Astyanax mexicanus: one gene and its partners. The protein of the gene in region 2 interacts with the protein of the main gene of each other region in a pairwise test. Links are inferred from orthologs where the notes say so. Each region holds a gene or a part of one and is shown on either strand. Other genes may lie near its edges.

Evidence for each region. The genes of interacting proteins can lie anywhere in the genome.
Region 1: the proteins of drg1 (region 2) and rwdd1 interact in binary tests that used the Homo sapiens proteins (3 or more experiments, as listed by UniProt). The two-hybrid records come from large-scale screens. The link is inferred for Astyanax mexicanus from reciprocal best matches to the Homo sapiens genes DRG1 and RWDD1.
Region 3: the proteins of drg1 (region 2) and zc3h15 interact in binary tests that used the Homo sapiens proteins (3 or more experiments, as listed by UniProt). The two-hybrid records come from large-scale screens. The link is inferred for Astyanax mexicanus from reciprocal best matches to the Homo sapiens genes DRG1 and ZC3H15.

Annotation. Positions count from the first base shown.
Region 1 is NC_064411.1:31,734,703-31,741,732, reverse strand, and holds the start of rwdd1 (RWD domain-containing protein 1), read right to left. Parts: upstream 3,002-7,030; 5' UTR 2,900-3,001; coding exon 2,827-2,899; intron 1-2,826. UniProt on the Homo sapiens protein: Protects DRG2 from proteolytic degradation.
Region 2 is NC_064427.1:20,149,835-20,157,136, forward strand, and holds the start of drg1 (developmentally-regulated GTP-binding protein 1), read left to right. Parts: upstream 1-4,202; 5' UTR 4,203-4,396; coding exon 4,397-4,435; intron 4,436-5,633; coding exon 5,634-5,757; intron 5,758-6,456; coding exon 6,457-6,632; intron 6,633-7,302. UniProt on the Homo sapiens protein: Catalyzes the conversion of GTP to GDP through hydrolysis of the gamma-phosphate bond in GTP. Appears to have an intrinsic GTPase activity that is stimulated by ZC3H15/DFRP1 binding likely by increasing the affinity for the potassium ions.
Region 3 is NC_064418.1:49,357,337-49,364,398, forward strand, and holds the start of zc3h15 (zinc finger CCCH domain-containing protein 15), read right to left. Parts: upstream 3,002-7,062; 5' UTR 2,901-3,001; coding exon 2,826-2,900; intron 418-2,825; coding exon 316-417; intron 228-315; coding exon 125-227; intron 1-124. UniProt on the Homo sapiens protein: Protects DRG1 from proteolytic degradation. Stimulates DRG1 GTPase activity likely by increasing the affinity for the potassium ions.

The sequences.
Region 1 (7,030 bases), on a different chromosome or scaffold from region 2:
TTTTCTGACACAGTTTTACTTCTACATTTTCACACAATTATCTGAATTTTCTACTTCTTACATTTTAAAACTAGCCTTGTTACTCCTATTTAATTTTAGCTTGTTTTAATTGCATCTTATAAAAAACCCTATCCAGATAAACCTCTTCATCCAGAAAGAGTAAATCTGACTGTGGTGGGATGAGAAGTATAAACATATACCATTCCAACACCCTATTGATTTATACAATCACACCTGCACACGTCACGCCCACACTCCAGCAAGAACATAGCAGACATACAAGGGTTGGACAATGACACTGAAACACCTGGTTTTAGACCACAATAATTTATTGTCTCGACGGACAGTTCTGGTGGAAACAGGAGAGTTGAGGTGCACATTGAATTCTGTCGTGATTTGAGCAGCCGTGGTTTTTTGGATAAAATCCGGGTTAGCACCCGAACATCCCTTTCAGACAGCTTTCTCTTACAGCGTCCACAGTTAATCCTCTTGGATGTGGTTGGTCCTTCTTGGTAGTATGCTGACATTACCCTGGATACCGTGGCTCTTGATACATCACAAAGACTTGCTGTCTTGGTCACAGATGCGCCAGCAAGACGTGCACCGACAATGTGTCCTTTTTTTAACTCTGGTAGGTCACCCATAACGTTGTGTGCATTGCAATATTTTGAGCAACACTGTGCTCTTACCCTGATAATTGAATCTTCACACTCTGCTCTTACTGGTGTAATGTGCAATTAATGAAGATTGGCCAACAAGCTGCTCCAATTTAGCCATGAAACCTCCCACACTAAAATGACAGGTGTTTCAGTTTCATTGTCCAACCCCTGTATGTAATCTAGTATGAAGAAAATCTGTACAGAGACTTACGAGAACTTAAGCGAAATGTCCTAAGGTACATTACTTTTACTTTTATACTTCAATTAGTTTTGAAAGCAGTACTTTTACACTTTTATTTGAATAAGAAGCGAGTAGAGTTGATACTTCAACTTCAACAGATACTTCAACAGAAGTATTTTTAACCTTAGAATCTTTACTTCTACCTGAGTAATTAATGTGAATACTTTTGACACCTTTGCAGGTGGGTCCCAACTAGGCCACATATGCAGTGTACAGATCAGATGGGGCCTGCCTGGTCCCCTCACTGACATCCACATGAGGGGCCAACATTACATCTGGGGGCCAAACGTTTTGCTACCCACACAAGCTCCACATGGGCATGTTGTCTGGGTACTTGTGTTTTAGCTAACCTAGCCAGCTACTTAGCTACCTAACTAACTAAATAACTAACGTTGCTGACAAGCTAATTCACCATTCCACCTTAAATGGTACAGCGATTCATATAGCTGCTGCTACTTTTAAGGTGTAACGTAAATTCCAATAACTTTGTCATGGGAATTTTGTTAAGGCTCCACGCAGCCTTCATAGAAACACCATGCTCACATTCACAACCTTTTAAACCCCACTTTACTCTTATATAACCACACATTACACCTAGCTTAACTGGCTAGCGTTATGTAGGTTCGTTAACTAAGGTACAACATGTCAGCTTACCGAGCTAAGTTACTTAGCTAGCTAACAAGTTACTTTACGTTAGCTGATAAGCTAATTCTCCGTTCCACCTTAAATAATATAGAAGCGGGGTATAACTGCTGGTCATTTTAAGGTGTAACGGAGAACTCTCATAGCCACATATTAAACTTAAGTCAGCTAATTCCCCGATCCACCTTAAATTATAAAGCAGTCGCGTTTGACTACTGTTCATTTTAAGAGAACTTTAATAAGAGAATTTTAATAGCTTTGTTAGTTATTGAATTCATACAAGCGCCCTGCTCACATTCATAGCATTTAAACCCTAATGTACTTCCAAACAGCCACCAATTAAACTAGCTACTTTACAGTTCCACCTTAAATGGTATAGCAATCGCGTATAACTACTGCTCATTTAAGGTGGAACAGAGAACTCCAATAACTTTGTTAGATAAAGCTCCACACAGCATAAACCATAATTTACTCTCATATAGCCACATATTAAACTTAACTAAGCCAGGTTAGCTAGCTTAAGCAACATAACTACGTTAGCCGACACAATAATACACGTCAACTGCTACAGCAGTGGCATAGAAATACAGTTATTTTTAAGGTGGAACGGATAATTTCAGTAACTTTGTTAGATTAAGCTCCACGCAGACCCTGCTCACATTTACAGCGTTTAAAAAACACATCTTACTCATATTAGACAACCAGGAATTACACTTAGTTTAGCTTAAATTAACTAAACTAAACTAGGCCAGGCTAGTTTAACCGAGCCGGGGTGTTCTGTCGAGTTGTGCTACCCTTCGATATGCGCTACTTAGCGGCTCTGCGCATGCGCAAAACTCACACTTTTACTGTTTTCATGTGCTTTTTCTATTTTTTCCTGCCAATTTAGTTTTATTTTTCCCGGGTGCACTGTACAATCTGGACTCACAGTCATCGCTTGCTTTAGTGTTACAACCGTGTAAAAAAAAAGTAATAAAAAATGTATATATAAATGTTTTTTACATTTTAAACCACCTAACGTTATATTATACATTTTTCCTGATACAGCGATTTAGGCTATTCAAATTTGATCATACCAACAACACAACTGCATGCAGCATGTTCTAATTATTTGTATTTTTACAGTTAAACATACACTAGGGTAGCACGATTTGACAGGGTAGCACAACTCGACAGAACACAGGGTTAGCTCTAGCCGCTGCTCTGAAGCTCCAGTAGGGAGAGTGGAGCAGCCAGCCGGGCTAACAGCTAGCTTACTAGGCTAACCCCACCACTGAGCCGCACCTGTAAACGAGTCTGGGTAAATGGACTCTATCGCCTCCAGCTCGTTCCGCTGCTCCTCTCCGTAGTCGGTCATTTTATTTCACTGCTGTCCATCAACAGCTCCGCTCCCACCGGCCCTCAGAAACGTGCCTGTCCGCTGAAGAGAGGCTGCACTCGATCTTCTCCACTATCGACTAGTAATGCCTGAAACTCTGACCGCGTCCCAATTCACACGGGTATAGGTGCACTGCTTTAGCAGTTAACGTCTGAAAGTTCAGTTCATACTAATTTAATGTAGCGCTTTTACTGACTAAAACCCGTTTAATATAGAAGAACTAAAGCAGGGGCGTCCGAACTGCGGCCCGTTTCCTTTTTGGAGCGGCCCGCGAGGTATTTTAGAAATAGAATGAAAGTTGGCCCGCTGTTTTTTATAATGTGAGATTCAAAGACGCTAGGTGTCAGAAACGAGCCAAAGAGTCTAAAAGCGGAGAGCGTGCGCATTTCTAGCGCAGAAAAAGTAAACATGTAAGATTTCTTTACTTGTTTTTTTTTTTTTTTAAGCAAAATAGTTTATTTTACGTTCCAAAATTAAAGGAATATCCAGGCTAAGTAGTTAGTTAGTTTTATTCGCCCCATTACTTCTGAGCTTTCTCGCGGGCTCCCTTTGGCGGTGTGCTGTAATTTACTGAGATATGAATTGGGCTCAGGCTTTATCTGCGCCTTCAGCAAAAAAAAAAAAAAAAAACGATTTTATCTATATCGACTACTAAGGTCTGTGACTAAGAACTGTGGCCGCGTCCCATTACAACATGTACAAATTTACATTTTAATACATATCACTATACAATTTAAAAGTTTTCTAGTTGGCTAGTTTACAAGCTGTAAGTTAGCACGCAGTCTAACCAGTTATAAATAAAAAAATCGTTTTAATTGTTTGATGATGCCACAGTGTAGAGATTGTATTGACGATACAATAAATAATACAATAAGCCATATAAGTAATATTAATTATACTAAACTATAATAACTATATCAAAGTAAAACGATCCTGAAATGTACTCTTAAAGTAAGCCACTACTCATTCTTAATGGGACGCGGCCACAGTAAGAGACATTACAAGTCGGTAAGAATACAGAACGCAGACACACTGCGCTCTAGCGAGGTCACTAGGTAAGTGTCCTAGTTATAGTGCATAAAGTGCTCAAACAGCTCTTGGCCGAGAATAATGTTGTTAAAAAGCGCTATCCGCTGATCGCATTAAAACAATTCAGGTAAAAAACACTTTAGTGCTATTTAGCAAATATATAAACACTACAACTACGAGTTGAAAAAAATAAGTTAGTAACGTACTGATTTTAAACAGTTTAAACAGTTTTAGAGGCACCTGGTAATTTCTTATGACTATGCATTATTAAAAGACCTTGCAAGTAACCAAAGTACACAGTAAAATTAATTGTTTAAATGGAATGCTACTTAAATCAGATTTTTTCTCCATAGTGCTGATTGGTTGGTGTTACTGCTATTGCATGCTGATTGGTTGGTGTTACTGCTATTGAGCACTGATTGTTGTATGTTTAGACTTACTGCTACTGAGTGCTGAGTACACTTAGATGACGCTTCTGTTACTCTGTCCTGATTGGTTGTTGTTCCTGCTAATGTACTGATTAGATGGCACTTCTTCTACTGAGTGCTGATTGGATGGCAGTGCTGCTTCTGAGTACTGAGTACCATTGTCATTACCGGTTTGCATTGCTGCTACTGAATGCTGATTGTCTGTCATTGCTGCTACTGCATGCTGATTGGTTTGCATTACTGCTACTGAGTGCTGATTAGTCTGAATTGTTGAGTCCTCATTCGATTGCATTGCTGCTACTGAGTGCTGATTGGTTTGCATTGCTGCTACTAAGTGCTGATTAGTTGTCATAGCCCCTATTGAGTGCTGATTGGTTTGCATTATTACTGCTACTGAGTGCTGATTAGTTTGCATTGCTATTACTGAGTGTTCATTAGTTGTCATTGCTGCTACTGAGTGCTGATTGGATGGCATTGCTGCTACTGAATGCTGATTGGGTGGCATTGCTGCTACTAAGTGTTGATTAGTTGTCATTGCATCCTTATTGGTTTGCATTACTACAACTACATACAAATGCGGATGCTAGTGGTGCAGTCCAAATGATTCAAATCTCAAACATTAATATGCAAGAGCATTTAGTTAACTTTAGCTACAGTTAGAATCTGCACACTCATGTTAGACTACTAATGTATGTTGTCTTTCTGCTGATGAAAACCACACTATCAAAGTCTGCATTTCCTTCCTTTATGTGGTCGTAAACCTACTCAGGGTTTCCTGTCTGTGCTCTGGCTGCACGATAGAAACCTGCGGCTAGCTGCTTCCCCTCCAGAGGCCGGAGTGCCAAAGATGAGCAACTTAGCGCTGCCCAGCAATACTTGGTGTTGTAGTATTGCTGTGAGGAGATAAGAAAGCATTGATCAGATCAGGTATGGAAGATTCTGAAGTTCTGCCATTCCAGCTGTTGTAGAAATGAATTTACAAGGTGTGTCCGCTACAACTCCCATGCGCGTTCGTTGAATAGAGAGTCAAAACAGATGGAGGTGAAGTTGAAAGCAAAACAAGTATTTATTACTGAATTCAGGAGAACATACAAACACGGTTACGACCGTCCAGCATACGTTCTGAACCTCTAATGATCTGACTCCATGTATATACCAAAAATGACGCGAAATCTGCCGATGAGGCGTTGCTAAAAATCATCCCATGTCAGCAGGCATGGTGTTACGTGTTAGAGCTCAAGATTCGCTAGTGTATGGCCTTGAGAATGAGTAGCCAGACAGCACGGCATTGTTCAGTAATTAGACAATGTTTCTCTCCCCGTGCGCATGCCCTCCTCAATTTGACAGGTGGAGGTCTTCACGCGCACGGAGAGAGAAAGACCGTATTGTCTGCCCAAAAGTCTCTGTATTAAGCGAGGTCATGCAGAATGCACTATCTGCTGATTTTGTAGCTGTTAGTGAGAAAAACATGCAATCACACAATGGGTTTCAGTGAGGTGTCAGTGGCGCGTGATTGTCCGCTATACAATTAGGTCTATACGTTTATGTATCATGTGGGTTAGTTTGTCAGCCTAAGGCCTGTGTTTAGTCACATGCTTGTTAAAAACAATGCTTCACTATTAGTTTTCTATATAAATGTGTAAAAAATATACTGTGAGTAATAAAATGATCAAATATAGTGTTAACATTGGTTAATGCATATAAAATAGTTATGAAATGATCAAATGTAGTGTGAGTATTGGTTAGTGCATATAAAATACAAGGTTTCACACGATGATTATGTAATTTTAGATACCAAGATAAGTAATCATGATTGTGAGATGTTTGTCAATATATTCAAGGTAAAACGAGGTTTCTTCGTAAGATTTCCCACAATTCCCCCTTTCGACGTATCAAACAGATACGTCGACAAACCGTAATTCCTCCAATCATGTATTTACATATGTTCAACCCTTGATCAACATGTGAGTGAACATTGTACTAAAATGTGAGAGCGAAAACCTGTCGCGGCAGCCTTCCAACCTATTTTGACAGGAAAAATTCTCTCACAGCCCCTCTGCCACCCAGGCGGCTAATGAGATGAACTCTATCAAAGGAGGAAGTGACATCATAACCTTAAAGTCATCCCCAGACTAGGTGATCTACAGCAGTTCCTCTTGCTCTTCCTCACATTCCAGTATAGGCCGATCCCAATTGACATGTGTCGACCTAATTACGTGTTCCCACTTGTTACAAGGTCTGGCTTTATAAGCTGCTTAATCGGTGTTATGGGTGATTCTCATGAAGCTGCATGCAACATGTCCATGACAATTTTTAAAATCAGTACTTAATTCACAAAAACTCTGATATTGTGTGTAAAGCAAATAGGTAGTACTGTATGGATCAATTGTTTTCATTATCATAGAAAATTATTTTTATATAAATTAATTAAAAAAAATATATATGGAAATTCTCATCACCGTTATGTGTCCGTACCCCTTCCTTCTAATTTCAAGTTAAACCATATTAAAAGTACTAAGCATATCGAATCAATAAAATAGATTAAAGTCATTTAAAATATCAACATTTATACATAATATAAATAATTTTGAACAAAAAATGTACTTGATTTTAAACAAAATAACTGTTTCCGAAGAATTTTTTCTCATTACCG
Region 2 (7,302 bases):
TGGATGCCCGACTCATCTGATGGCCTGATGCTGGAGAGACCAGTGCATTATGTAGCCTGACGAAGCAAAAACACCCCCCGGCCTGTTCCGGCAGGCCTACGAGGTTACACAATGTTCCAGATCGATGGTGGATCCAGCAATTTCACCAACATTTGAGTGATTATACTGTATGCAAAGTAAATATGAACAATAAAAAGAAACTATTTACCAAAAACAATTTGTGCTGCTGGTGTCTGAGTGCTGAGTTTGTATTGTTGTTTTTTTGTAATTTGTTTATTCGGTTTTTTAAATGATTGGTTAAACAGCTATGGAGGAACCAAAACTGCCAAAATTAAAGTAAGTAAATCACTCAATAAAAGTAATATGGTGATGTAAAACAGTAAGGAATAATTATGATTAATATAAAAATATATACATATACATACAAATAAAATCTTAATAATTTAAAATATGTTAATAATTTGTTTCTTTATTTTTTTTATTAATTTATTTATTTGCATATTTATTTCTGCATTATTTACAGATTTATTTATTTCTGTTTTTCCTTGTCCTTATATGATAATGAAGGGGGCGTGTTTTTCACGTACAGGTTTAGCAATCAAGAAAGAAAGGAGCTGATATGAGTAGAAGAGTCCAGGAGCTGAAACGTCGGGGAGAAGTTTGTTATCGGATCTGCTCAGAGAGGCAGTAGCTTATGTTGCTCACCTCAAAGAAATAGACCAGAGTCTGTATTACGATCTAAGTGATCTTCATTAAATAATTTTCCACGTTACCAAAGTTACTGCCAAAGGAGCAAAAAATGTACAATCCATCTAGGGTATCTGACATCGATTAACCAATAGGAATGCTAAGACACTGTGACATCATTACTGGACAGACCTCTCATTATCATATAAGGACAAGGAAAAACATAAATAAATAAACCGGGAAATAAATGAATGCAGAAATAAATAGTCATGTTAATAAATAAACAAATGAATCAAAATAAAAAAATATTTTAAATAATTTTAATAAAGACACCCCTAAATAACAATTTATACATAAATAAGATATTTATTTTTATATTATTTATAATTATTCTTTACTATTTTAATCACCGTATTACTTTTATTGAATGATTTACATACGTTTATATTTCTTTATTTATTTTTAATTTTGGCAGTTTTGGTCCTCCATAAACAGCATAGATCTCAGTTAACGCAGTGTTTTAAGTGAAATATATTATAAAAAAAAATAAAAAAAACTACAAGAGTAAAAGGGAAAAAATAAAGAAATAAAAGGCGGGAAATAAGAAAAAAGGTGGAAGAGGAAATAGAAAAACAAAACAAAAACCTTGACATATATATTTAGAGTACAACTTCTTAGCAGAGCCATTCATTGAGCACCTAATAGGAGAAGAGGATTTCTATCTATTTAGTATTAATCGTCTGGCCAGCAAAGTAAGTGCTGAGGTTTATGGGAGTATTAAGATTATTGCTGATTGTATTCTGTGAACATGTGACTGGTTGTTAAGCTGAATTGTATAAATATAAATATATTTTATGTAGTACGTACATGATTGGGGTACTTAAAAAAAGCTACTATTTTTCTACTATTAATATGTGTAATATCTGATACAAAATGTCTGTATATAATGTGTGATATATTGATTTCAAGTATGGACCCAGGCCCACATTTACTACAAAATGTAGTTCTACTTTTAAGGGGACCTATTATATACCATATTTTTACACAAGCTACAATATTGTAGATCTATGTGCTATACAAACATGTTCATTAAGTTTTTTTTAAGGAAAATCACACACACAGTCCCTTTCAGAATAAGCCATTAGGGCTCTGTCACTTTTATGCCAATAAGCTCTTGTTGGCAACACATGTTTACACTGAGCGTTTACCACACCTTAGTGTTAGCTTGTGCTAAATGGCATAACACTGTAATAGAAACAATTCTATAATTCATTATTTGAAAGTTCTTACATCTCCTGACTTGCAGCAGACAGTAGGTACAGATCCCTTCCTCAGACGAAGTCTGCAGGCTAATCCTGCTGTGTACCAGGGCTGGACTGGTAATCTGGTGTACCGGGCAAATGCCCGGTGGGCCGACAGTCCTTAGGGGCTGATGATTTTTTTCTTCGGCCCACAAATTAGAGGGGGTCTCTCTCTCGCTCCCTCGCTCGCCTAATCACGCGCTTTCTCTCTCTTTCTCTTACTGTCTCTCTCTCTCTTTTTCTCGCTCTTTCCCTTTTTTCTCTGTCTCTCGCTCGCTCTCTCTCTCTCTGTCTCTCTTTTTCTCCCTGGCTCTCTTTCTCTCTCGCTCTCTCTCTGATGTAAGTGATTGACACCACTTATATAATTTAATTGTATCAATTTAAAGCTGATATTTTTAAAAAAGAACACTAAAATGCATCCAGTAATAATGATAAAATATTAGTAGTTAAAGTAATGATGTTGTTTTTGTTTTTAATAAAGCGCCACAATCATGCCCATTGTTTGTTTGTTCTACCTAGATCAAAAGATCCTCTCATGATGAGAGTAGAAGTGAACCCTGGTTTCAAGCATTTAATAAAAGAGCTTGAGCCCTGTTACAACATTCCATCCCAAAAAAACAAAACATGACTAGAATAAAGTTAATTTTTATTATGAAGTTGATAATGGTGAGGCTATATAGAATGCCCTATTTGTAGCCTGATACAAGTACATGTTATAGCTGTTTAAAGGAGGAAGCACCTTTAACCTGAAAAAATAGAAATAAAACAAATACATATTAGAGATTATTTCAATAAAAAAGATAAAAAATCAATTGAACTACACAGAGCAGACACAAATGGCGGAGTTAAAATTAGACAATAAACGTGTTATATTTAATATGCTGATGATACATTATGCTTCTCTGTAACCCCACAAACATAAATTACATGTTGGTTGTGCTCCGCAAATTATGAGGGGCCGTTCTAAAGCAAAAATGCCAGGGCCGATTTTTTTGTCCCAGTCCAGCCCTGCTGTGTACTGTCTGAGGTTCTCAACCAGCAGACTGAAGTGGCGTTTCTTCAACTGATCTTGTGGGTGAGGCTCTGGTTAAGCATACATATATACAAAATACGTTTATGCATAACACTATTATATTATATGTGGGTTTTTATCCTTTAATAAATAAGCTGCAATTCTTTTTTTTTTTTTTCAAAAAACCCTTCAGCACAGCAGAGCATTTTAAAGATTTTAAATTCAGTGCTCTGGCTGTAGCATCAGCTCACCAACCAACCAATCAGCTCACAGTATCAGTGATGCAGCACCTTTACTGCCTAAAACCAGTTTACTGTAGAAAAACTGAATAATGTACAGGTAAGTTTTATACGCTTTTTTAGCAAAATCATTTTAATTTGAAAAATATATTTTTCGGAATATCCTGGCCAAATTATTAATTACTATTTTTAATTTGAGTTTTTAGCTGTTTAACTCCATTCACTCCCATTTATTGAGGACTCACTCGCTGGCTCCCTCTAGCGGTTCATAGTTATTTTCTGATATTAATATCAGAATATATGTATATATATATATAACTGATGCTCTCAAACACTTTATTAAGAGGCAAAAAATTCAACTAAGAGTAATTAGCTCTTTACAAGTTCAGCTGAACTGAAAGCCTGAATTTCAAGTGACAAGCTGACTGAAAAAATCCAGCAGAGATGTATAAATCTGACCATCTAAGCAAGAGGTGAAACTTTGAGGTATGTGAAATAAAAAAAACATATTCTGGTTTGTTTACAACAATTTTTCCATTATAATTTGTCTGAGTTTGGTATTAGTCTACAATGCAGAACATGTTGATACTGTATAGTAAACCCTGTTAAAACCAGGGATATTCCGCCAAATATTACTTACTAAACTCTTAAACTTTTTGAATATGAAGTTGTTTTCTTTGCATTATTTGAGGTCTGAAAGCTCTGCATCTTTTTTGTTATTTCAGCCATTTCTCATTTTCTGCAAATAAATGCTCTAAATGACAAAATTCTTATTTGGAATTTGGGAGAAATGTTGTCTGTAGTTTATAGAATAAAACAACAATGTTCATTTTATTCAAACATAAACCTATAAATAGCAAAATCAGAGAAACTGATTCAGAAACTGAAATGGTGGTCTCTTATGTTGCTGCACACAGCTGTATATGGTGACGGTGGCTGTGTGCAGCTGTTACTCCTGTCCAGCAGGTGGGGCTCTGTCTCCCTCCGCTCAGCGCCGGGAACCGCGAGGATCTACAGCACAGCATGTCAGAAGTCTGAGCGCGGCGGCTAAAACCCAGAAAATCCAACTTTACAGAGCCGAACAGAACCAGAACCGAGCCCGCTCCGCCTGATACAGCTCCCCCTGACCCGGTTCTGACCGACCCAGCGCCGCAAACATGAGTTTACTCGCTAAAATCGCAGAAATAGAGAACGAGGTTAGTGAGATTAGCCTGTTAGCATCGGGCCGCTACTCGCCTCCATTCATTTTTACAGCGCTTTATCTTCAATAAACTGATAAATACTCTTATTTTACTGCATTTATACTCACTGAGAAACTGTATTTAGCTGTTTATATTAATGTAGACCTTTTACAGTGCTCCTAATACTGCTAGGAAACACTGGGACCTGTTTAGAGTAAAAATATCTAAAATTAAATACTATAGAAACTATAAACATGAGCATATTACCACAAAATATACATCTAAAATTACGAATATTATGATGTTGTCTATTTAAGTTACTGTTCCAATATTTAAATAATGTTAAACATATGTATTGCAGGTTTAAGAAGCTGTAGTAGCATATATGACTGTAAATTATTGAGTACTGAAATTATTTTTGTAAAGAAAAAAAGTGTTTAACAAACCAGAATATATTTTTTAAAGTGGCACCTCTTGCATAACAGTTTTGCATATCTCAGCTGGATTGTCTCAGTCAGCTTTATGAGGTAGAGTCAACTGGAATTCAGGCTTTTAGTTAACAGCTGTGCTGAACTCATCAAGAGTTAATTACTTGAATTTCTTCTCCTCTTTATAAAGTGTTTGAGAGCATCAGTTGTAAAGTAGTGAAGAGGTATTGTTACAGGTATACAGTGAATAGTGAATATTTGAGTAATGTTCTAATCCAGATTATGAGAAGCAAGAACTACTCAACTAAATAATAAAAAACTCCTTTTAATAGAATAAAACAGTAAACTGTAGGAAAGAAAGTATCCTCAAGTGCAGTTTCTGCAAAGACCATAAAAAACGTTTTATAATGATGGAACTGGCTCTCATCAGGACCGCCCCAAGGAAAGGAAGAGCAATAGCAAGAGCAATCCTGTTGTACAGGATCAGTTCATCAAAATTACCAGCCTCAGAAACTGCAAGTTAGCAAACAGCTTCCAGAAAATAGCACCTAAACGTTTCACAGAGTATTTTGGTTTGTTTAACACTTTTAAGTTACCACATGCTTCCTTATGTGTTCCTTCATAGTCTGGATCACTTCATTATTCATTTACAATGTAGGAAAAACTAAAATAAATAAATAAATAAATTTGGGTGGGTTTCTGATGTTTACTGTTCAGAGTGCTGATATATGACTATTACATTTATAATATAAAGTGCTACAACTGTGTTTTATCTTGTACTACAGATGGCTCGTACTCAAAAAAACAAGGCCACAGCTCATCACCTGGGGCTGCTGAAAGCCCGACTGGCCAAACTCCGGAGAGAGCTCATCACTCCTAAAGGAGGCGGAGGAGGAGGACCTGGAGAAGGTACGAGCAGGGAGGCTTTTCTCTAAAACTGTGGAACTTCATATTATTAAGAAACTAAGATTAAGATTTATTCTAAAAACAGTGTAGAACTTCTAGGGTACACTTGTGATGATGATGATGATTATGTGTCTGTACACTTAGTTTACAGATTTGTATGAAGCAGCTATGAGAATTTTGGTTGTTTAATAATAAAGAATGTACTGAAATGAACATTTTGGATGTTTACATCAAGGTTCATATCAATTTAGTCCCTTTTTTTTACATTTTTATAAATTAAAAAGTTTATAAGTACTTTTGTCTTGCTTTTCAAAGCGAACATGAATACTCTGTAGAAATGACTTCGTCTTTTCTCTTATTGCCCAAAAATTAAAAATAAATCAAATCTAGTGTAGCTGCATATATTGCATATGTTTTTGTTTGCGTTGCATTTGCAAACATGCAAATCGGTAATCCGAATTGTTTAAAAATGATGTGATAGACCCCAATTTCCAATCACATGATCTTATTGGGAACATCCCTACTAGCAGTAATGTTTATATTGCAGTACCCAGACAGTCAGGGTCTCAAGCTCAAATTAATGAAGAAATACAGTTAAGACTAGTACAATAAATATAATATATAATATAATAAATTAAATAAGAAGAATAAGCTATGATAAGCTGAGTTCCTTATTAAAACACTAATTTTTATTTGTTTCAGGTTTTGATGTTGCGAAGACGGGTGATGCGCGTATCGGGTTCGTGGGCTTTCCCTCTGTGGGTAAATCCACGCTGCTGAGTAACCTGGCTGGAGTTTACTCCGAGGTCGCCGCCTACGAGTTCACCACGCTGACCACAGTGCCGGGAGTCATCCGCTACAAAGGAGCCAAAATCCAGGTTCTTACAACAGCTCTTACCTTTAAAACAGGCAAAACTACAGACAAAATCTGACTTCAACATCTGTCTTTATTAGAAGATATACTTTACACCATGTTTATACATAACAAAGTTTTAAACTGTCCGAAACTCCATAATCAAGTCTATTAGAGATCACTGAACACCTCCACACAACATAATGAGAGCCTGCGGTTATTACAGTGCTAACTAATGTGGTATAAAATTTCCATCAAGAGCTAAAATAGCCTTTTGTTTCAGCTGCAGGCACGAAATATGACTTTGCTGCTCAATTTTATTTTGGTTATTCATGATTTGAGAGAAATCATCTTAATTTTTTCAATTTACCTTTATTTTTACTCTGGGATATATTGAGGGTAATCTTAGCTGAGCCAAGTTTACAAACTAAAGGACTGAAAAAATAAGTAAATTAACATCAAAATCAACTTAAGCTAAAATAAGGAACTTAAAAAAAAAAAAACATTAAAAGGTAAAAACAATATAATCTTCAATTAATAAGAAATATAATAAAACAGAATACAAGGATAAGTGCACAGGCTAAAATGTAAAGCAGTAAAATAAAGAGATAAATAATTAGAATAATAAAAGACACAATTAAACACAAATAAAAGATAAGTGGATTCAAAATTAAGTGGATAAGATAACACAAAGA
Region 3 (7,062 bases), on a different chromosome or scaffold from region 2:
AGCATCCAAAAGTATTGGATAGAGCTCTACTGCTCTACAGCTCAATACCCAGGGCTTTACTCTATACTCTTTCTTAAGCACTGTTTTAATAGGTTCATGTTGTAGCTATAACAGCAGGCATTACCTTTGCTGACTTTCTGCGCTGCCACCACAGGCTTAAAGAGCTCGTTCAGCTCAGAAAGCTCTTTCTTCTTGTCAGTTTTCTTAGACTTGTCAGCTTCGGCCGCCTGATAAATATAACAATAATCAAAAGACTGCAAACCTGCCGAAACGTCTAAATCAGGTCAAAGATGTGGCATTTAGCCCAGCCCTTACCTGCCGTGGGTTCTGCTGCCCATATTTAACCTGTTGTGTGACTGTTTTGATGAATTTCTGCTGTTTGGCTCCCTTTTTGTTCTTCAGTCCAAACGTCTTATCCTGTGACAAACAACAACAGACCCGAATGAGTACATTCTAACATCTCTTAATTATTTAATGGTTATCAAATGTATGTATGACAAAAAAAATATATGACACAAATGCACAGTGGAGGTGAACAGGACAAGATATTTCTTTTACAGCTGAACGTCTCTAAAACAAAATGCATAAGGAATCATGTTGTAACTTAGAAGTGTCAAACCAAAATAGTGTGTAAAGCATTTAGATGCTCTTATCTGGGTTGCAGTTAACTTGTAGTTCAATTAAGTAATTAACTCTTGATGAGTTCAGCACAGCTGTAAACTGAAAGCCTAACTAGAGGTGCTACTTTGAAAAGTCTAAAATATAAAACATATGTTGCTTTGTTTAACAGTCTTCTGATTTATGTTGTTATAGCTTGAGTTACTTTAATATTAATCTACAATGCAAAACATTTTGAAAAACATAAAAAAAAAATATTTTTTTTTTCTTTGGAAGGTGTCCAAAGATTTACTGTTACTGTATTTTCTAATTTCCATTGATGAACAAATAAAAGCTACAGAAAAATGCCCACAATGGATGCAATGTCTACCTACACATTTCTGACAAAAGAATTTGCCAATTCATGTAATTATCTCTGTAATAAACATCAGTCCGTGACAGATTCTGTAAATAATGTATATTAAAATACTGTATTATATAATATAAATATTACATATCTGCACATGTTTTTGATAAACAAGTCTATTACAATTTTAATCCAAGTAAGTAACTTTGTTATTTAACCAATTAATCCAATTAAAGCACTGTCCCTATTAAACAAATTATTAAGTACAATATTAAGAGTACTCCCTTATGTCTGAAACCTTGTTAACTGTTTCTCAGTTTAATAACCTGTCCGTTCAAATTAACAAAATTGCAGGAAATAATTTACTTTAAAAAACTGGTGGAATTCAAGAGAGATAAAGGTATATAAAGAGTGTGGGAAGGCACCAGAAGACCGCTAGTTCTTTTAAATTACATAATTTCATATGCAGTAATATACACCTATTTACAGAACACCTAAACCAGGATATGCTTTATTGAACTGAGGAAACAAGATATTTAACAATTTATTAAGCTAGAAAAACAACTTCTAAATCTCCAGATTTCTTTTTCCCCCACCTTGGTACTTTATAATGGCTTGGTATCATTAAATGGAAGTCTGTGTCCACTGTCCAACACAAATGATGAATGTCTTTGTCAAGACTGACAAATTTAAAAGATTTGTTTAATTTATTAAACTGAACAATTTAATCATTAAATCAAGGGAGTGATTTACTAAACTGAGGGAACAAATTATTTAACTGAGAGAACAGATTGTTAAATAGATCTGTTAAAAAAGGGAACAGTTTAATGAACTGATGGATAATATAATAATATATTAATACTTTAAAACCACTATATCAATGTATAGAAAGCACATTATATATTATATGTTATGAGAAGGGTGTTTTAGTGTTCACAGAAAGCCATGAGGATCAGGCCTAACACACTGAAAAACTAGCGAGCTAAAGCTAGGAATTGCTAAAATGTTCTTTTTAGTTAACTAACTTTCAGCTAAATCACTGCTTCTTTGCTTATTCGACATACTATTAAGCAGTTATCCATAAGATTAATCTGAGCTGGCTTATTAAAAATGTTTATATCTATATTTTATAGAATGTATGCTACTACTGTAGCTAGCTAGCCAACTTCCAACTATCTATAGCTAGCTAAGCTAACCACACCATTCAACGCTTCTAGAAGCGAGTTAGCTATCGTTAGCTAGCCAACCAAATGCAGCCCTAAGGATAATAGAATTAGCTTTATATCCATGTTAAAGCTATACATATGAAATAAGCTCTAATCAATAAGCGCTATTTTATCGATTAGGTCACTTGTCAATACATTCCGGTCATCGATTAGCTAGCTATGGGAGTTTTGAGCTGTCACCAGCAAGCCGGGTTGACGTGTTGGGGAAAGAGTTAGCTAGGCTAACTATGCTAAGCTAAGCTAAGCTAAGCTAAAGTACATCTGCTTCCGCGCTGAATAAATGTTAAAATAAGCTAAGGCCAAATTCTATAGTAACTGTGCTAAGCTAAGCTACGGTCAAATCCTACCGTAACTATGTTATGCTAACCTAAGCTATAATAGCAATTATGCTAAGCTATGCTAAATTACATCTGGTTTGGCGCTGAAGATAGCTTAGCTCATTTATGTTAGGTTAACTCACGGCCAGATCCTATAGTAGCTATGCTAAGCTACGTTACGTCTGCTTTGGCGCTAAAGATGCTAAACTAAGCTAGGCTAAGCTAAATTAAGGTAGACCGCCGGGCCAGGGTCTGGAGCATGGCCGGGCAGCAGCGGGTCAGTATGAGCCCAGTTTTCGCGGTTTATCCGCCACCGACCTCAATAATCTTCTCCTTCTTCTTCTCCTGGGTCTTTTTGCTGCCTGTGGCTGGAGCGGGTTTCTTTGGAGGCATTTCGGCGGCTGTAAAAACACCCGGGTCCCGGCGCTGCGCGGCGCGGTGCTCAGCACGGCTGCACTAATGTGTGTGTAGGGGGAGGCTAACGTGTGTAAAAGTGTGTGTGAGAGAGTGTGTGTGTCGAAAGGGGGCAGCAAAAATGCAGGTAAATATAAAGTGAAAGTTGAAGTGGGTTATATCTTTATTAAAACTCATTAAACCCCAAAGAAAATGTTTATATTGGTTTGATATTTCGTGCGTTTGAAAATCATTAAAATGCAACCTTTATGAGGTAAACATTTATTTTATTAACATTTACTACTTACATATCGAACTTTTATTAGTAGTAACTTATTTACTATCATCTCTAAGGCATATTATGATTATCTTTGCTACTCAAAGCACTGTGACTGAAAAGAATAATGATTTCAACAAAAAACTCGAAGGTTTTTCTGAGGTAAATGCTAGGCTAGCTATGCTAGGCTAAGGCTAGATTAGCTTACTAACATTACTGAAAATGGACTGAGGCAGGGTAAAATTTAGAATTTTAAAGGTAAGAAAATAGATTATTTTGGTAAGTTAGTATGATTTAAGAATTCGGTAGACTTAAGATAAATAAAATCTAGTTGTATCTCTGGGTCGTCTCTGGGTAACCTTAACATTTTAAGCATTAAATAACTAACGCTAGTTAACCTAGTAGGTTAGTCTGTCAGCAACCTTTTCCTGCCCAAAAAAGTGCAGTAAAAGTCATTCCTTTGTCTTAAAATGTCTTAAATTGGTCTCCCAATGGTCTTAAAAATGCCTAAGACAGTAAATCAGTGTGTCATTAACTTAGTTCATTTGATATTCAATTCAATATTACATTCTTCACTATTTTCTTATTAGTATTTCCATTCCACCTTAAATAAGGATGACTGTGTGTGTTACTGCAATAAGCATTTAAGGTGGAATTTCCAATTGAATATCAAATGAATAAATGTTACTGTACATGGATTACAGTCAATATAATTTAAGTTTTTTTGCAGTATAAAAATTGATTACATTTTAATCATTTATATAGCAGCTGCATATTTAGCACTTTGCTTCGATGGTTTTACTTGTTTGACAAGTTTATTAATAAAATATGTTTCAGTAAAACTAATAAAATATGTATTTTTAATTAAAAAAAAACTAATGGAGTGTAATAGCAAACATAGAAACAGAGTGCTGCAAAATAACAGCAAATTATGTCAGAGTAAGACCACTGAGCGGTTTTCTATGTTACTAACTGTAACACCTTAATTTATTTCAACTCATTTTCGTGGGTGCCTTATAACCTTGAGTGTATTCATAATTTGAACAAGGCATCGTTGTTTGGTTTAATATACAAGTAAAAAGTAACTTTGCTTGAAACAATATAGGATTACTTTAATATAAACTAGTATATTATATTATAAAGAATATTAATACAATTAATATTACATCATGATTCTTTTTTGTTAATTTTGTATCTGCTTCAAGTGTTAGCTGGAAAACAATCATTGAAAATCCTTTAGGATTAAAGTTCTGCAGAAAGATCCCTTACACAACCCCTGCAGGTAGTACCTGCACATTTTTGCAGGAATCCCGCGGGACCTTTTTGGTAAGGGTATGAAATTGGTAAATGTAAATAGACTTTTCTGAAAAACATGTTTAAATTAATGCAGTAATGCATTTAATTTTTGTCTAATATTTACTGTGAAAAAATACAACAGCCTGTGATTATAAAAAAAAACAGTACTGTATTTGTTACTGTTTAATAGGTACTGTGATAAAGTGTACAGTATGCATACTGTAAAATTTACTACAGCCAATTACTACTAGCTAATTGTCAGCAATTTACTGTACACACTTGTTGTCTTGTTATAATGTGCTTTTTTCTGCAGAAGTGTTTTGCTTAGGGACAGTTTGACCTCACAGAACCAATATTAAATATTATAATATTTAAAAATATATATATTATTAAATATTATATTAAAGTACGTGATCACTCATCAATATTAACATACAGCAGTACCCTTTTTTTTTTACCTCTCTTGGAAATTCAGATTTAGGTGAATATATATATATATATATATATATATATATATATATATATATATATACACATATATATACATATGTATATATATATATATATATATATATATATATATATATATATACATGAAATATTCTTATGAAAGCAATATAACCTTACTGTCTATATGACTACACGATTAATTATAAAACAAACCCAGACACTTAAACACCAGTCTTTCCATTTGATATTTATTGTCTTAGTAGAAATACATGAATAGGTCAGAAAAAAGGCAGTTAGAAATGGAAAAAAAAATCTAAATAGAAGAAACAACACATACAACACCATCAGAACGAAAAAAAGGTTCCCATTTAGTTGCATGGCTGCTATGTTATCTCAGGTCATTAATATTGTTTTGTGAGCTGGTTGCCATGCTACCCTAAGTGGTAACAGTGTAATTATGGTATTTCAGGTGGTGTTTATAGTGTTGCTTAGTGGTAGCTAAGGTGTTGCTAAGTATTTTCTTGGCACGTGCTGTGGTATCTTAGGTGGGTTCTAAGGTGTTGCTAACTGCTTGCTTGTTGGCCGCTACAGCGTATCAATGTAATAACTATGGCATTTACAGTAGTAGCTGTGGTGTTGTTTAGTGGTAGTTAGGGTTTTGCTAAGTACATGCTGGCCAGACACTTTGGTATCTATGGTGGTTTATATAGTGTTGCAAGCTGGTTGCCCTGGTGCCCCAAGTGGTAGCTAAGTGGTTGCTAGGTGACTGCTTGGCAGCATTGCAATGGAATTAATTACTATGTTATTTCAGGTGGTGTCTATAGTGTTGTATAGTGGTTGCAAGGACTTGGATAGGGTGGATGCTAGACAAATGCTATGGTATCCTAAATGGTTCATATGGTGTTGCTAGCTGGTTGCTATAGTATCAAAGGTGGTTGCTAAGTCTTAATCGTGTTGTTTCAACAGTACTGCAGTGGGGATGCTATGGTATTTAATGCAGTGGCTATGGTATCGTTTAGTGGTTGCTAGGTGGATGCTAGGCAGTTGCTATAGTAATTCTGGATACTTGCAGTGGTTCCTCAGGTGGTTTCTTAAGTATTAAAAAATGTTTGTTGTAATGCCCCACATGGTTGGTTGAGTGTTACTGGCATTTTTGTGTCATTATGTCAAACAGTTGCACCCCAATAATTCCTAACAGAAAACAAATATGTACAAAATCTGTTGTTCCAAAAAGCACTGGAGTTAGAATAGTAATTGGTTTGCAGTGCACAACCCTAATAAGAAAGAACTAATTTTAAATTATGGTAAATTAAATTACATTTCAACATCAGTTATTCTAGATTAGGTTCAGAAAGAAGTAAATCAGTGCTGAAGATTCAATCTTCAAACACTCAGTAAACAAGTAAACTAATCCTTCATCCAGTAATGTATTTTTCTACATTCTTCAGAAGCTCTGCTGCAATCTTCACTGCTTCTCTTGCATCTTCATGTCTGAACTGATCGTGTGGTATGCAGGGTGGTGGATGGCAGTTTGGGTACTGAGTTTTCTTGGCATCTACACCAAGTGTCCTGAGCTGGGCTACAGCACTGGGTACCTCACTGAGGTGGGGGCTGTAGTGGGAAATCTGTTGGGCGAGACCTGTGATGGAGACATTCCCGGAGTGTCGTCCCTTTCTCCTGTACTCTGAGGCTATCAGGGCTTTTTCCACGGCCTGATGCACTTTAAACAGATTCCACTCAGGACTCGCCGCAGGTTCACTCTGAGCAGCGCTGAGGTCACATTCTGCCTGTCGGTACCAGCGCTTAGCTTCTTCTCTGTCTGGAATGTCTGGTTTTGGCATGTCCCTCGGTGTAAAATATGACCAAAAGTTATAGTGCCTCCTAGAATTGTTCTGATAAAATCGCTCTCTCCCCCTTCTGTGCCTTCTGGCCTCTTCATTCCATCTGGACCAGAAATCTCGGAAATGATCTCCACCTGAAGATGTGCTGCCTGCAGTCTTCCCTCCCTCCAGCTCCTTGATTCTGTTCTGTAGATATTTGAAGGCTTCATTGGCCAGGTCAGGATTGTCCAAGTTCTTGTCTGGGTGCCACCTTAAGTAAAGGCGTTTGATAGCCTTACATTTGTCTTCTTCTGACATT